Linked DNA regions of Kluyveromyces lactis. The protein of the gene in region 5 binds, or shares a complex with, the protein of the main gene of each other region. Links are inferred from orthologs where the notes say so. Each region holds a gene or a part of one and is shown on either strand. Other genes may lie near its edges. The genes, in order: DAD2, DAD4, DAM1, ASK1 and DAD1.

Region 1 (2,639 bases), on a different chromosome or scaffold from region 5:
AGTTTCCTCTGGAATGGAATATTCAATGACTGATGTAGTGAAATTGTAAGAATCATCTTCGGCAAGTGCAGTTTCCATTTCTGTAGTATTATTTTTATTGGTATTGCTACATTCAGTGCCTGTGTTAGTAACAGATGGAAGGACCGGTACCAAAGGTATCGTAGAGACATTCTCTTTTCCCTCGTCTTCACGCTCTTCTTTTGTATGCTTGTTCTCCTGAGACTCTTCCTCAGGTACTGAGGTGGCTGCAGTACTAGGCGGCGGTTCATCCTCAGTTATCGGCAGTTGATTCAGTTCTAGTTCCGGGTCCTCATCGTTAAACTCGAAATCTGCAGGAATGAACAACGACTCTCTCCGTGAACTCTTACGCCTCCTCTTTCTCAGAGGTCGTACCTCATCATCATTCAGCTCGAGACTATTCCCGCTATTTTCATGGTTATCTTCCGCAATTGGATCCTCAAACCCAACTGGTTTCGTTGTGGTATTTGCACCAGTAAACTCCACTTTCTTCGCAGATCTCGGGCTTATACCATTCGAGCCTCTCAAAATCGGTTTAAGAGGGTTATCATGAATACCTGATTCTAAACCCTGGCTCTCCCGTACTGTGGTCAACAATTGGTTCATTTGCAAGAATTTTTCTACAATTCCGTCCTCTAACGTCTGGAAAACAGTATTGAGCTTCTCACGATAGCGCAATTCACCCATAGAAAGCCGCGACCGTAAGGAAACATTCTCTTGCACCAATTCACTCACTTTAGTCTCCATATCAGTGATTTTCATCATAAGACTGGAATTATATTTCGCAAGCTGACTGTTCTGCTGTAAATAAATTCCCTTTTGTTGCTCAAGCATAGCTTGAAATTCATCGTACTGCGAAGAAGCGCTCATGTTGCACTCTCACAAAACTTAGTAACACTATCCGCCGTCAATTCGGGTCCCTATAGACTTAGGAATCGCTCTTCTTTCAGTCAATGAACAGGTTATTTAAACGCTGAATGAGATCTAAAGCTTTGAATGTTTTCATTGTTTACGTTTTGTTCTACGATGTAAACACAAAAAAACAAGATTACCCGGATCATATTTAGTACTACATTTAATTCAAATGAGGTAAGTTGGACATGTAATGGGCAATTTGATGTTATCCAACCCTTCGTTCATTCTAAATAGCGGTGTTAATGCTTAGCGTAGCTTGTATAGATCAATCTCCCCTGATACAAGTCGGTTTTCTCGAGTTTTCTTCCTTTATTTCAATATCGGAATAATATGAAATCACGACTTTGAACTAATCTCTACAATGTGAATTCTTTCAAAGACTAGAAGAACCAAGAATTATCAGCTAAGATAGACACTTCTCGGAGCGAGTTGGATGATATATTCTAGCTGAAGAGTAAGAGGTTTGGGTCACCTGAAAAAAAGTTGTCAGTATGGCATTTGAAACCGAGATCGAGACTAAGAGAAGAGAATTGAATTATTTGAAGCATGTTTCTGCATTGACACAGAAATTAAAGGCTCAATTGGACGAGCTGAGCGTTCAGGTAGCGCAGATGAATAGCAATGCTGTGACTGTTAAAGACGTAATGGCTAATTGGGACTCGGTTCTTCGGTCTATCTCTCAGGCTTCGATATCTTTACTTCAGTATACAGAAAACGACTATGAGACTGGGAAATGGGCCAGTAAAGAGGAACATAGAAACCAACAGGGCGCTGAAGATGAAAGTGCTGCGTCAGAAAGTTCAGAAGATAACCAGCAGCGGCAACAGGATCAATTACCTCCGCTTCCGGAAACTTTGGTACGGGTGAAAGTTGCAGATGACGTTGAATAACGTTTTTATTGAATATATACATATGGTGTATAAACAGGTTTTATACTATGTACAATTAATTGGTGTGGCACCTTCTTCTATTATTGAATTAGAAAGATGTGGGACTTGTCTCGATTGTGTTAGTTGCGTAATTGATGACACATTGGTTACCGGTTTCCTCGTTGATTTCTCCAATGATGGATTGTAACATCGTAACGTCCAAATTCGAATTAGCGAAAAGAGCAACCTCTCGTTTGACGTCGCTAGCTAATTTATTAAGATCGGTTAGTCCATGGTACATGCCATCCAGGTATGAGTCAGTGATCAATTTCTCATTGGCCAAGTTGTCGATGATTGGAAGTTCGATACTTTGATGGTAGAACTGCTGCTTGAAAAAGACCCTTAAAGTTTGTCTAACCGCATTTTCATCGGATAAGAGACACCTTCTCCAGATCTGGTACTCGCAGTACTTTTTTACTTCAGTGGGTAACGTGTGATCAATGGCAAGGATACTCAATGCAAATCCATAAGAAGTATCTTGATTTAATAGTGTGAATAATTCTATCATATGCGGCACTGAGAGAGATTCTCTCCTCTTCACAGCATCGCTCAAATATTTGAACAAAGTTCGATAGGTGGTAAAGTCTTTGAATAGTGGGTTGAGAGTTGATTCTTGTAGTTCTTGGGATAGAAGAATTTGCCCATCGATGAGATCTAATTCGGTTTGAATTTCGTTTAGCTTTTCAAGATCTTGAACTTCCGCGGCAAGAGCTGTTAATTTGGCAATACTCAATTGTGCCTGTCTTTGTTTCAAATCTTGACCCAGCGATTGAGTTC
Region 2 (2,479 bases), on a different chromosome or scaffold from region 5:
CCTTGTAGCTTCTTTCTCTTCTTTTTTAGTAAATATCCTTGGAATCCTTTACTGTTTTTCAAATCGTGATCTGTCGCGGATGTAGAACTTGGACTCAGTGGTTTTATTGGCACTGGAGAATTAGTGTTTGGTCCGTTAGATGTACCCACGTTGGAAATTGTGCTTGGAGTAGTCTGGCCTGGAGATGGCGCAAATGGATTGGAATTCGATTTTGCTAATGAGGACAAAGATGGATCCTTGAATGACGTTTGGCTATAATTCAAAGGTCGCTTGCCATTCGTCCCATTGGCACCAAAGCTTTCCTCTTGGTTTGAAATGACGGATTCCTGATCGTCATCCAAACCTTCCATTGCCGATGCACTAGGGTTGATACTCACCGAAAATAAACATTTTTTCTTAGTCTGCTTCGAAGTAGTATTGTCTAAAATGAACGCGTAATAACAACTCTCACAAGTTGATTCGAACGATTCGGCAACGGTATCGTTGTTAGAAATGGTCCCATACCAGGTCACCTTTTCCAGACCGCTTTGTGCTAACCTTGTTTGCAACGGCACGTTTTTGTCCTTTTCGTGATCTGCCAAGGCAACGTTAGGCTTGGCATCGGTTGAAATTCGAATTAACGGATTAGTATTACTATTCGAAGAAGCTTTTACACTCCCATGGTTTGTTTCACTCAAATCAGTCGTGGATGATCCACCAAACCGTCTGTATATACCAAACCCTATCGATTTTTTCAAAGGTTTCAACCGAAACGAAACTATATCACCTTGAGAAACTTTCTGCCAACGCACAACAAATGATTTATTTTGAACGTCAATAGTATCCATGTTTGATGCCGAAAAAAATTTAATAGTTACAATTGAATCACTCTCGAAACTAAGTAGACGTTCCAATCTACCTTTATCGGTCGGTTATTCGCTGAAAAATCAATTCTGAATAAGAGAGATTAACCAGGGGAAAAGATCAACAAACACCTGATAGGCACGCAGTAAGAATGGTAATTATTCACAGGTGAAATTTAACTGACAATATCCGTTACCAGCAATTATCACCAAATTGATATATGATGCCCGCCAAAAGCTCGAAACGCACACTAGAAGTCTGTTATAGATGAAATTTGGATCCTTGTTTACTTCAAATTAAAGGTTTAGTTTATTATACTCAAGCTTTTTTTTAATTCATTTTCACTGAGAAGCTGCTTTGGGGCAGGTACTAATTTTCATCATTTAAAAAAAAAAAAAAAAAGGTTTATAATAGCATCCAACATGTATTCAAATGCAAAACATCGGTCAAAAATGTAAACCACAAGGAAAACACAGGCACTAGAGGCTACAAAACTGGTGTATAACTATCCGTCATCAGTTATATTTGTGATACATACCATGGAAAACCCGTATGAGAAAGTTCAAAGCAATATTCTGGCTAGAATCATTGGCAATGTCGAAAGGTTGAACCAGAGTGTAGTGATACTAAACCAAGAGCTTCGAAGGGTAAACACCAAGAATAAGAATTTGGAACTGATGTCACAAATGTGTGAGAACTATAGAGAATCTGTTGATTTCCAGTTGCAGGCAACTTCCAAGAAACAGGACCCATTGTAAGGTCTCACATATATTCTAACGAGAAGAATTTATTAAAAAAAAAAAGCAGTTACTTAAGTGATGTAGTATGTACGTATATACATACGCCTTTTTATAGTCGGTTTCAGGACCGTACTGATTCTAATTTACAGATAATAATGGATTAATTTTTTTTGTTCATGTTCAGTGAGTTTTAACCGGTGCAATTTTGTCTGCGGATTGTGTTCCAACTTGTAGGGACCTTAGTTTGGCAAAAGGTTGTATCTCTTCTTCAAAGTAACTCTTTGTCTGGAGTATTTGTCATCTGGAGAGAATCTAGCAGGGTGAGCAGACTTTGTAATTTCATTATCCTCAGTCATCTTCTTCAAAGTATAGATTCTCTTGCCTTGGGCATCCAAAGTGTACATCAAATGCATAGTGGGTAGTGGGTAGAGTGTGATAGATGCTTTTGGTTGGAAGTGAAAAGGAACTAGATATATGGATAACAAGACACTTTCTTTCAAGCGATGAGCTATACCGATCAGTTAGTTAATGCTATGTTGAAAAACTGATTATATCTCTTTGAAAATTTAGCAGATGCACTTGATGGAAAAGAAATATTCCAGTTCGTATCATGTGATCTGATGATATATTCTCTAACGTAAGTAGCGATATGTGTTTTGATTATCTTTTTCTAGTCACGTGTAAAACGAAGGAGGCTGGATCGGTTCCAATGATCGATTGATTGATAAACTTTTGTAATCGGGTGTTCACGTGACCTGTGTGTATTTTATTTGTATTTTATTTGTATTACCCGGCCACTCTCCTATAAAAAAGGGGTCTCATTTCCACACATAGTTAAGGACCCTGCTTACTATGAGTGTTTTTATGACAGGAACTGAAGCTGGAACTGGAACTGG
Region 3 (3,275 bases), about 390 kb from region 5:
CGATCAGAAGCATAGAGTTTCTCAAAGACAACGGGATAGTTCATATATTTTCTTGTGAGATAAGAGTTCATTCCAGTCATTTCGGAACCACCATCCATGTCCATTCCAGACATAGAACTGGAAGTACTAGTACTCATGGCCATGGCACTGGCTGAGGTGGTAGTATCACCTGCGTGCATATTCATGTTGAAAGGCTTTATTGATATCTGTCGATGGGGTTTTTGGATAGTGTCGGTTGTGGCTCTTTTGATTAACCCAAGCCAACTGTGCAGTTATTCTTTTCTTCGTCAATCGCTTCCCAATACGTGAATGAACAAAGAGTTAAAATCAACAAAAAAACATCAATGTTTCTGGTGTGTAACCGTCAGCAGCTAGAATGGAACTGATCAAGATGTATGGCTAAACACTTATATGCCACTTTCTTATATTTAAAATGTACAACCAATACCTTCTCAAAATCTTCTCATCTCATTCTTTATGTTAGCTCTTTCATTGATTTATGTTCTCTGTAACTTCGGTCATTTTTCTTCACAGAATTCCTTGCAGAATGAAATGAAGAGGGCGGCCTTTATTTGCTCAATAAGCTCAACTCGAATAAAAGTAAATCGAACGAGACTTCACTTGAAACGAGAACGTTCATGTATCACTGATAAGCGGTAAGAGCAGCCTCATAGAGCACTTCAATCTTTACTGAGTACCTTCAGTAATTTTTTTTTCTTCATTTTGTTAACTGACGTTGTAATATTACATTGTTTGGTAGATATACACACGGTATGAATATGTATCTAGAAAAAAGCTCTGGTAAGAAGTATCAAATAACTCGTTACCTGAAAGGAGGCCTGCTTGCAAGGTTTTTTGGATTATAGGTTCTCTGTCTTGTTCTTACAACTCTATTCGGTAGAGCGGGCTCTGTATTTGTAGATTCACGATTAGCAGAAGAGGCAGAGCCAGCGGTAGTCGATGATCCTGCCAAGATAGGAATTCTTTTTGCACTGACTGCTAGTGATCTTTTTCTTTCTCCAGGAGTAATACCTGTTAGTGTATTAGGTATAGTGCCTATTGCAGCGTTGTTTCGTATTTGATGTAGAATGGATCTTCTTCTGAGTTTCGATGACGCGGAGCCTACCGTTTGTTTTCCCATAAAGTCAGTTGAAGCTCCTACTGAAGATATCATTTGAGGTTTGAAAGTAGTTGGGTTGGATACAAACGAAGCGGCTGTGTTATCTTCGTCATCGTTAATGTCAATGTTAACATTCGAGCTTGCAGTAGAACCTGGCACATTTTCATCACGATACAACATCTGAGAACCTCGTGATAAAGGTTGTCTTGAAAGAGGTAATATGCTTCCTTTGGTAAGTTCCTTTGGCTTGAGTTTCGCCTGTAGTGCTTGTCTTTCTTGTTTCAACTCTTCTAGTCTTTGGATTAATTTCAATTCATGCGGAGTATCATGAGATATGTTCGGGAAATCAACACACCAAGAGTTACACATCAATCCGTATAATAAAGCGCTTAGAGCCTCATTTAAATCCGCTATCGATTCATGAATGAAATTCATGTGCGTCATGTTACCATCGAGTGTTACCATCGAGTCCGAAAGTTCCTGTAATTGTGGGAGCACGTATTTTTCAATCATTGTTTGATTTGACGCATGCTGATCTCGACCGTTGTTGCCTAAACTAGATCTTCTTGAGCTTGCATTAGATGACAAAGATAGTCTATATTCAGTTGGCCTGTCCCGCTGTGGAGTATTTGGCCTTTGAGACATATCTTATGAGCAGATGAATCCAGCAGTTTTATGTTGAGTTTGGAATAGTGCCAAGTAGCCCTGAGAATTTAAGATGAAAGGTCAAAAAAAAAAAAAACAAGTAATGAATTTACCTCAGACTGTCTATGAGATGTCAAATTAGATACCAGGTTGCCCAAAGAGACACTATCGCATTCCGTCTGTCTGCTTGGAGACACCTTACTGTTCGTGTTTTTGTTTTGCTTTACTTTATTTACGTTTTCGATTTTCGATGTACAAGTATTTCAACGATAGTTAGTTAGTATTCATCAACAGGAATGAAAATCATTCAAAATAGCTATAATAGTATTTACAGGTACAAACAAGGTTGATACTACTATGTGTTTAGTAATTAACTGCTTGAATATAATTTATTGGAATTTGAGTATCTCGAATACTAGAAAATTGAAGGAAATGATGGGATCGAGATAGAAATTCCTGAGAATATCAATATGTGTTTCTTTATCACATGAACTTCTTGGCATGTTTTAGCTTTTGCCTCTTTATTTCATCCTGTGACATAGCGGAACCACGACCACGTCTTAGTGCAATGATAAGGAAGATAGATGAAAGCAGAGATAACCCATACCAAGTAATTAAATATTGTAAATGATTATTCTTCAAATCAATCTTTGGTGCTTTACCAATAGGCACTCCCGCTTTAACGAATTGGAACTCGTTAAATTCCAATCCTGTCTCCGAATCTGCTGTATTTACTTTCTTCGTGTTGACGTGTGGTTTCTCGGATTCTTCTTGTTGTGGTTCTGTTTCGGTTTTCTTTTTAGACCAGAATTTCCAAGATGATTGGTTTTTGTTATCGATACCCTCAGATTTTGATTCTTCATCCCAATGGTGATCTTTCAGATCGTAAAGAGCTTGGTAATGAATAGGAGAAGTATGTGTCATCTCTGTCATATCCTTAATATCCAAGACTTGCCACAATCTACTCTCCCTGTCTTCCTTCTTCCATTGCATTGATGTCAAATCTTTAGCTGCACGCACTAACACTGTAATTGTCACGTTATCGCCTTGAGGTAAAGACAAATGTTGCAAGTTACGAGATGATGGAACGATTTTCTCCTCCGAGATCCAACCACGTTCAATCAAAATTCTTTCTCCCGTATCCTTTCTGATGAAAGGCGTATATAAAACGTACCCCTTGATCCCTCCTCTAACACGGGGGCCGACAAAAATCTCTTCATCATGCAAGAATCTACCGGTCATAGTACACTTGCGGTATTCCCAGTCTTCGCACATATCCGGTGTAAACGTTTTAGGTAACGGAATAGGATCGTAGGTTAATTTGTCTTCGCAGGAAGCAATTAGATTGGTTTTCCATTTCAATCTTCTTAATTGCCAGGTTCCTAAGTAGAACGAGATCACGGGCATGGCAATCATCAGTCCTAGAAAAATACGCTTACCCCATCGTGATTCCTTCTTTTGAAATCCTTCAGTAGGTGTCTTCTTTGTTTTGATAGGTTTCCAGTCAACA
Region 4 (3,213 bases), on a different chromosome or scaffold from region 5:
TCTCTGAAGGCTACCCCAATTAAGAGAGTTGCACAGCAGATATCACAAAGGACGAACGTTGCCCTGACTTACGGTGGAGAAAGGATTAAGGTATAATCACGTAGCGGTGGTACAACTTCAGTCGAAACTCCTGGTAATGTTAACCCTACTGTGGTCAAAAATACGCGCTAGGTATTGTATTGTATTCTCTATTTACAGAGGTTTCAAATGAAACCCATTTTAATTTATTTTATACTTAGATTCATCATAGCGAATGGCGCAGGTATGTATGCGTTTCTTTGGTCCGCAATTCAAGGCTCTACAGGTTTTCCGTCATTCTCGAATGGTGCTTCCTTACGTGCTTCATCTAGAGCTGGTTTTATGCCTTGTTTCACCAAGCTAGCTTGGACACATTCCATATATTCGTACCATTCGGTTTGGCATTCGTTTTCAATTGACTCACCTTTCAAAAATTTCTCGCTGTACCAGTCGTTAAAACATTTATCGTACTTACCCTTCAAAGGTGTACACTCTGTAGCGAAACTTGCACTCATCACGTTACCCATGGTAGTTTTGTGGCGTATCTTGTATCGTATATGAATACTCACTTAGTCTCTGCATCGCACATAATCAGAATGTCAAATTCACCATGTAGAAATCCGATTGAAAACGAAGCTATAGAAGCATGAAACTAAAAAGGAAAGTATTATATCACGTGATTGTTCGTTCAGGTCATAGGATCTGGAACCCTGAGTAACAATGTATACCTCACACACTATGATATAGAAGTGAGTGGGGGAAGGCTAAGACAGAGCTTCAATCGCGTTTGCTGTTAAAATGAATAACGGTTCCCGGCTTGGCCAATTCGCCCTGGATTTTGTTATGTGTTTCTGTCCCAGTTTCTGTTTCCGGGGGGATCGTCTTTATTGGGGAACTGTTTGCAGAGATATCATTCTCCATTGAAGAATTAGAAGATGACGACGAATTGAAATGTTGGTGAATTTGTAACGAAACTTTTCTCTTCTTCCTCTGTTTTTCCATTGCACTATCCTGAGTCAACTCATCGGTATCCTGATCTTGAAATTGATCCTGTTTTACCGATCCTCCTGTTTTCGTGGTGGGGGCACCAGCGGAACTTACTCCGGTTTGAGATAAAGCAGGGTATTGATCGACTGTATGGAACTCATCAGTTTCGTTTTCTACCTCTGGAAATAAGGAAGTCCGGGGCTCCAAAACCTGACCCGCAGATTCCACAGCCTGATCCGTCACCAACTGAACATTAGCACTCTGCTGAAACATTTCTTTCAGCCACGAACTAGAATTCGTGATATCTTCACAAGTCTGTCCATATCGCGTCACGTACGGTATTATATCCTTTGTTATCTTGTTGAAACAGTACGAGAGGTCTGAATCGATTGATTGTAAATTTAACGTGATCTCTTGATCTATTTGTTCAATATTCACTGCATCCATGATGTAAAACAGGAAACCTAGTGTTAGCTAATTGGCACAGACTAATTGCGTCCTTTTCCTTGTTTACTGTAATATTTATAACAACGGACACCGCGTCCTGTTACCTGTAACCGTCACTATTTACACTTCCAAATCCAAATCCTTTCTGTCAAACCGGTTTGTTGACTTTTTGGTCAAATTCATATTTCCTCTTGTAACTCTAAGAAGAAATTTGAAATGACATAAAGAAAGTCTCTGCAATGCCAAGGTAACTTTCTGCAGATCAACGAAGAAGCGCTAGGCTGATTCGGATGAGGCTTACGATATTTCCAAGCTGAAAGTATAAACTAAACTACATAATACGTACTGATTCAAGGACACCGGTCACGTCTGCTATTCAAGGGTATCAATGGCTTAGAAGGCTCTGCCTACTCGGAGTGGAAAATTAGATATCATCCATTACGTTATCCATCCTTGCTCTTAAGCCTCGAAACCTATTAGTAAAGCATCGAAAGAAAACCTTTTTTTTTTACTGGAGCAAATATCGCAACAAAGCGCCCAGAAATCGCGCAGGGTGTCTCAAGCTAGTGTATCATCGAGCCGATTGACAGTTACATTCAGTGAATAGCAAGTTGTAATTTAAGGCATCAGTGACAGCATCACTGCAGTGCCATACACAAGCCATGCCATATAAAAGCATATATATATAAATATGTCAAATATAGTTTATATTGTTTTTTATTCGTGGAAGTCGGGTTTTAGATATATAAGGAAAAGAATGAGTATATTATACCAGCCGAATTTGACGGGACAAGGTCAACATAGCTCATTCCTTTAAAGAATATCACTGGTAGACATTCTCATAAGGATTGGATTTGATACAGGTATAAACGTAAACCGCAAGACTATACTAATATGTTTCCACGTCCAGGTAACTACTGGTTTATCTTTCCCTGGATAGCTTTCATTCCATGGTATGGGATGCTAATTGCGATGTTGGCATGTTGGGCAGGACAAGGTCATCCCATTTATTGGTTCATGCATACAGACCAGTTCCCGGTTTATATATCCCATATTGGTGCGACCAATTTAAAACCGTTGTTTATTTCTTGTGCGGCATGGCAAGGTCTAGGATACGTAATCATGGTTGCTCTAGAGTATTTTCAAAGATCTGGTCATTGGCCTTTCAAGTTACCGTATACTTATCATGATGACTTAGAAAAATCTAACGATAGCTCTATAATGGAATCGAACTACATCGAAGCTTTAATTCAGAAGAAATATGTCATGCCTCCATTTTTTACCAAACATGAACGGAATCTAGTATGGGCCTCATTCGTACTAGGAAGTATAGGTGAATTGGCTTTGCTTATGTGCACTATCTTCTCAACAAACACGTATCCTAGGGTGCACAGTTCCATGGTGGGTATATTCTGTGCATTTGTCGGATTGAGTGTAATTTGTCATGTCGCACAATATATGACAATGGGCAGACACTACGCTGTCGTCCATCCTCTTACAAGTAGTGAAGATATCGGCAAAGACACAAGGTGGAATGAATGGCACGGCCATGTTTGGAACAAGTATACTATCAGTGGCTTACTAAAGGCATTTTGGGTAATAGCTGCTTTCGTTTGGGCTATTTGTTTTGCATGCTTAGAAGATAGATCAACGACTGCCTGTTTTGAATGGCTATTGGCATTTTGGTTCGGATTATATTTCATTATTGTCTCTGTTGACTGGTATATTGGCGGAAGATATACCCAGTCCAAGTATTTCCAT
Region 5 (2,841 bases):
AGTATTACGGTAGAAAGGTAAGAGTCGGTTGGCAATTTTCTAGAGTGTTAGCAAGATTCTTATACGATGGCGAGTCGAAAAGAAGTATCGTTAAGCAAATTCCTATCTTGATTCAACAATTAGATACTTTATACAGTGAAATCGCGAAGCTGAAATCATACAGATTGTACGGATCATCTTTGCTCTTATTTTACGATGGCGACAACCCTCAGAACAAACGATCTCGGGTGAAGGTAAACATTATAGATTTCGCTAGGTGTGTCACTGATCGTGATATAGAAAAGTCACTAGATCGTTTTAAGATTGCACCTCATTTCCCAAACAGAGAGGATCAGGGATTCCTTCGAGGTATAAAATCCTTGAAGTTCTATCTAGTTCATATTTGGAATTTTTTAACTAACGACGCCGCTATGGTCCAACATGGAGAGCAGCTAACGCAGTTTTTGGAAGATAATATAGACAAATTCAATTCCAACTGGGACTGGCTAGATGAATACGATAAAGAAGATGACGCCGAGGCCTGCAATGCGGAAAGTCCTTTGCGCGTAAAATGGCGGAAATATGAATTGATCTTTGACATTGAGCCCAGATACGCTGATGACGAAGTCAGCGACTAAGGCCAATCATTTGAATAAGAACCAAATTTTTTTACTCTCAATTACAACTACATCCAAACGACATATTCTTGTTAGTGCAATACAGCTTCAGCATAATTTATATATAAGCTTGTACGTAACTACCGTGTAAGTATAATTCGGTTTTTGCTTTGCAGCTAAGGCTAAAAGTCATAGGTTTTAGCATTGTTACCTGGTGGAAAGTTGCGGGCTACACGAGTCGATTGTTGTGGTTTGTATTTGTTTGAACAACGATAGGGTTATATCGATATAATTTTTGAAGATCGGATAACAGAACTTAAATTGTTCAAGACTGATAAGATTTATTCTCCCAGCTTAGAGAGACTAGCCAAGAGTTGAAGATGCCTTGGCCAGCCAAATATACTGGTTGATTTTTACTTGCCCTTTTACGCTAAAGAAACTTTCAAGAACTATGTAATATGGTGAAAGAGTAAGCATTCAATAACTTTTTCCATTTTATATCCGAGAGAACATCGGTAGGGTAAGCTGAATATGATGTGAAAGGGCAGTCAGTCGTATTATATAGCTTGGCGTGAGATGAAGATCGTTTGCTAATCCAGGTTACCAGTATTTCGCTTAAAATTAGTGGTTTCTTACATTTGCTATGTCTTTCAAACGTCTGTATATGTGCCAATGATAATCCTTGCCGGTAACATCTTGATTTCATATTTGAAGGTAAATTGGCAGTGAAGATTCAAATACCGCAGATCGCGATATTCGCCTATTTTAATGTCTAATTGAGCTGCTAAATGTTCCAATTACCTAAGCTTTGGAGCCAGTTGGTTCTCAGCGATACACCAGGTTTCTGTCATCAACGACTTAGTATCTTTATGAGAAGCGGACAGTTTTATTAAAACATTTAGATCATGGAAATACACGAAAAAGGTAAACTGATATGCATTGTATATCGAGGGTCATCGGAAAATAACAGGAGTCCCGATTTGCATACACTGAGGGCCCAACATATAGCAAGCAGCAATGACAGAAGAGGTTCAACAGCTATCGACAGGCGACAAATATTTCATCGAGCAAAGAAGTCTGATATTACAAGAGATCAACGAAAGCATGGATGCCATTTTGAATCAATTAAATGGGTTAAACATTACCCTTGAAAATAGTATAGCAGTCGGGAAGGAATTTGAAAACGTATCACAGATATGGAAACTGTTCTATAATGGGCTTGAGTCTGAAGAACAGAATATGGAGACGGTAGGAGTAGCAGATTCTGAACATATTACGGAGGATGTCAATCCTGAAGGGAAATAGAGAATTGGTTTTATATCAAGAAAGGCACAAATTGAGGAACTTGATAAGCTTTGCAGATAAAACTTACCAGCCAATGAACTACAGCAACGTGTCGCATCATAAGTATTTTTCATCAGTTGTTTGTTCTAGAAGTGTGCTTCTATAGACGGTATATATATGTAGACCGTTTGGTACAGGATAAAAAGAAAGTTAAGAACACGCCACATATTTTTCATCAGTTTCTGCTTAAATTTCGTGCGTCTTCTACTAATCTCTTGATTTGCATCCGAAGCTATACTTGTATTGAAGGGAAATGGGGCAATATGTTTAACACCCTCGAGGAAAACAAGTGCATACTGACAGAAGGGATTGTGGCATTTAGCGTTACTTTTTGCTGGGCAACAACAAGAAGTTGGTTCCTTGGCCCAGTTGGTTAAGGCACCGTGCTAATAACGCGGGGATCAGCGGTTCGATCCCGCTAGGAACCATTCTTTTTTTCAAAAATTCCTCTCTTTCTTAAGTATACAATGTAACGCTGAACCTCTTAATAATACGGAATATCTTCCATCAGTCAGTCGAAGTGAGCAAATGGAATATTATCACCCACAATGGTAATGCTGGTCCCCCTGCCTACGTTATTATCCTATATTCTCTATCTTTAAGTCCAATGCAGCTTGACGCGACTTTTCTCTTTTGAGCAAAAAACAACTTTCTTCAATAGAAAGAGAATCTGCAATTTGATGTTTAAACAGATCAAGTTCTGGAGGAGTAAAACAGATGTTTGGTCTTTAAATAGGCCTTTGGTTCTATTATAGAATATATGATGGGTGCGGAATCACGATCGGTATTTGTGTGATGCAATTTCTGGGGTGGTAAGGACCAGTGCCACACTTGGGTTTGATTTTCCTCTCATCGAGTTTCGTGTGCGCATGTTCGTCTCTCACATCGAGTTATACTCTCA

The links.
Region 1: DAD1 (region 5) and DAD2 share a complex: the UniProt entries of both Saccharomyces cerevisiae proteins name them as parts of the DASH complex. The link is inferred for Kluyveromyces lactis from reciprocal best matches to the Saccharomyces cerevisiae genes DAD1 and DAD2.
Region 2: DAD1 (region 5) and DAD4 share a complex: the UniProt entries of both Saccharomyces cerevisiae proteins name them as parts of the DASH complex. The link is inferred for Kluyveromyces lactis from reciprocal best matches to the Saccharomyces cerevisiae genes DAD1 and DAD4.
Region 3: the proteins of DAD1 (region 5) and DAM1 are in contact, whole or in part, in a cryo-EM structure (PDB 8Q84), measured with the Saccharomyces cerevisiae proteins. The link is inferred for Kluyveromyces lactis from reciprocal best matches to the Saccharomyces cerevisiae genes DAD1 and DAM1. Residues at the interface, in NP_010299.3 of Saccharomyces cerevisiae: Arg24, Leu28, Ile31, Asn32, Met35, Ile38, Leu39, Leu42, Leu45, Asn46, Leu49, Glu50, Ser52, Ile53, Gly56, Arg57, Phe59, Gln60, Ser63, Trp66, Lys67, Leu69, Tyr70; in NP_011628.4 of Saccharomyces cerevisiae: Ile59, Leu62, Leu63, Lys66, Ile67, Glu69, Leu70, Ser73, Thr76, Leu77, Asn80, Phe81, Arg83, Leu84, Ile87, Ser90, Leu91, Asp93, Leu94, Glu96, Ser97, Leu98, Ser100, Leu101.
Region 4: DAD1 (region 5) and ASK1 share a complex: the UniProt entries of both Saccharomyces cerevisiae proteins name them as parts of the DASH complex. The link is inferred for Kluyveromyces lactis from reciprocal best matches to the Saccharomyces cerevisiae genes DAD1 and ASK1.

Annotation. Positions count from the first base shown.
Region 1 is NC_006037.1:700,622-703,260, forward strand, and holds DAD2 (Dad2p), read left to right. Parts: upstream 1-1,424; coding exon 1,425-1,823; downstream 1,824-2,639. Other genes in the region: SGO1 (Sgo1p), read right to left, coding at 1-888; NUP133 (Nup133p), read right to left, coding at 1,912-2,639. UniProt on the Saccharomyces cerevisiae protein: Component of the DASH complex that connects microtubules with kinetochores and couples microtubule depolymerisation to chromosome movement; it is involved in retrieving kinetochores to the spindle poles before their re-orientation on the spindle in early mitosis and allows microtubule depolymerization to pull chromosomes apart and resist detachment during anaphase.
Region 2 is NC_006039.1:1,465,331-1,467,809, reverse strand, and holds DAD4 (Dad4p), read left to right. Parts: upstream 1-1,382; coding exon 1,383-1,601; downstream 1,602-2,479. Other genes in the region: oxysterol-binding protein related protein OSH3, read right to left, coding at 1-827; snoRNP complex protein NOP10, read right to left, coding at 1,823-1,996. UniProt on the Saccharomyces cerevisiae protein: Component of the DASH complex that connects microtubules with kinetochores and couples microtubule depolymerisation to chromosome movement; it is involved in retrieving kinetochores to the spindle poles before their re-orientation on the spindle in early mitosis and allows microtubule depolymerization to pull chromosomes apart and resist detachment during anaphase.
Region 3 is NC_006038.1:999,067-1,002,341, forward strand, and holds DAM1 (Dam1p), read right to left. Parts: upstream 1,766-3,275; coding exon 824-1,765; downstream 1-823. Other genes in the region: high-affinity Cu transporter CTR1, read right to left, coding at 1-185; cytochrome oxidase assembly protein SHY1, read right to left, coding at 2,249-3,275. UniProt on the Saccharomyces cerevisiae protein: Component of the DASH complex that connects microtubules with kinetochores and couples microtubule depolymerisation to chromosome movement; it is involved in retrieving kinetochores to the spindle poles before their re-orientation on the spindle in early mitosis and allows microtubule depolymerization to pull chromosomes apart and resist detachment during anaphase.
Region 4 is NC_006039.1:1,071,702-1,074,914, reverse strand, and holds ASK1 (Ask1p), read right to left. Parts: upstream 1,453-3,213; coding exon 796-1,452; downstream 1-795. Other genes in the region: MDM35 (Mdm35p), read right to left, coding at 291-545; SFK1 (Sfk1p), read left to right, coding at 2,347-3,213. UniProt on the Saccharomyces cerevisiae protein: Component of the DASH complex that connects microtubules with kinetochores and couples microtubule depolymerisation to chromosome movement; it is involved in retrieving kinetochores to the spindle poles before their re-orientation on the spindle in early mitosis and allows microtubule depolymerization to pull chromosomes apart and resist detachment during anaphase.
Region 5 is NC_006038.1:608,762-611,602, forward strand, and holds DAD1 (Dad1p), read left to right. Parts: upstream 1-1,613; coding exon 1,614-1,901; downstream 1,902-2,841. Other genes in the region: inositol polyphosphate kinase KCS1, read left to right, coding at 1-617. UniProt on the Saccharomyces cerevisiae protein: Component of the DASH complex that connects microtubules with kinetochores and couples microtubule depolymerisation to chromosome movement; it is involved in retrieving kinetochores to the spindle poles before their re-orientation on the spindle in early mitosis and allows microtubule depolymerization to pull chromosomes apart and resist detachment during anaphase.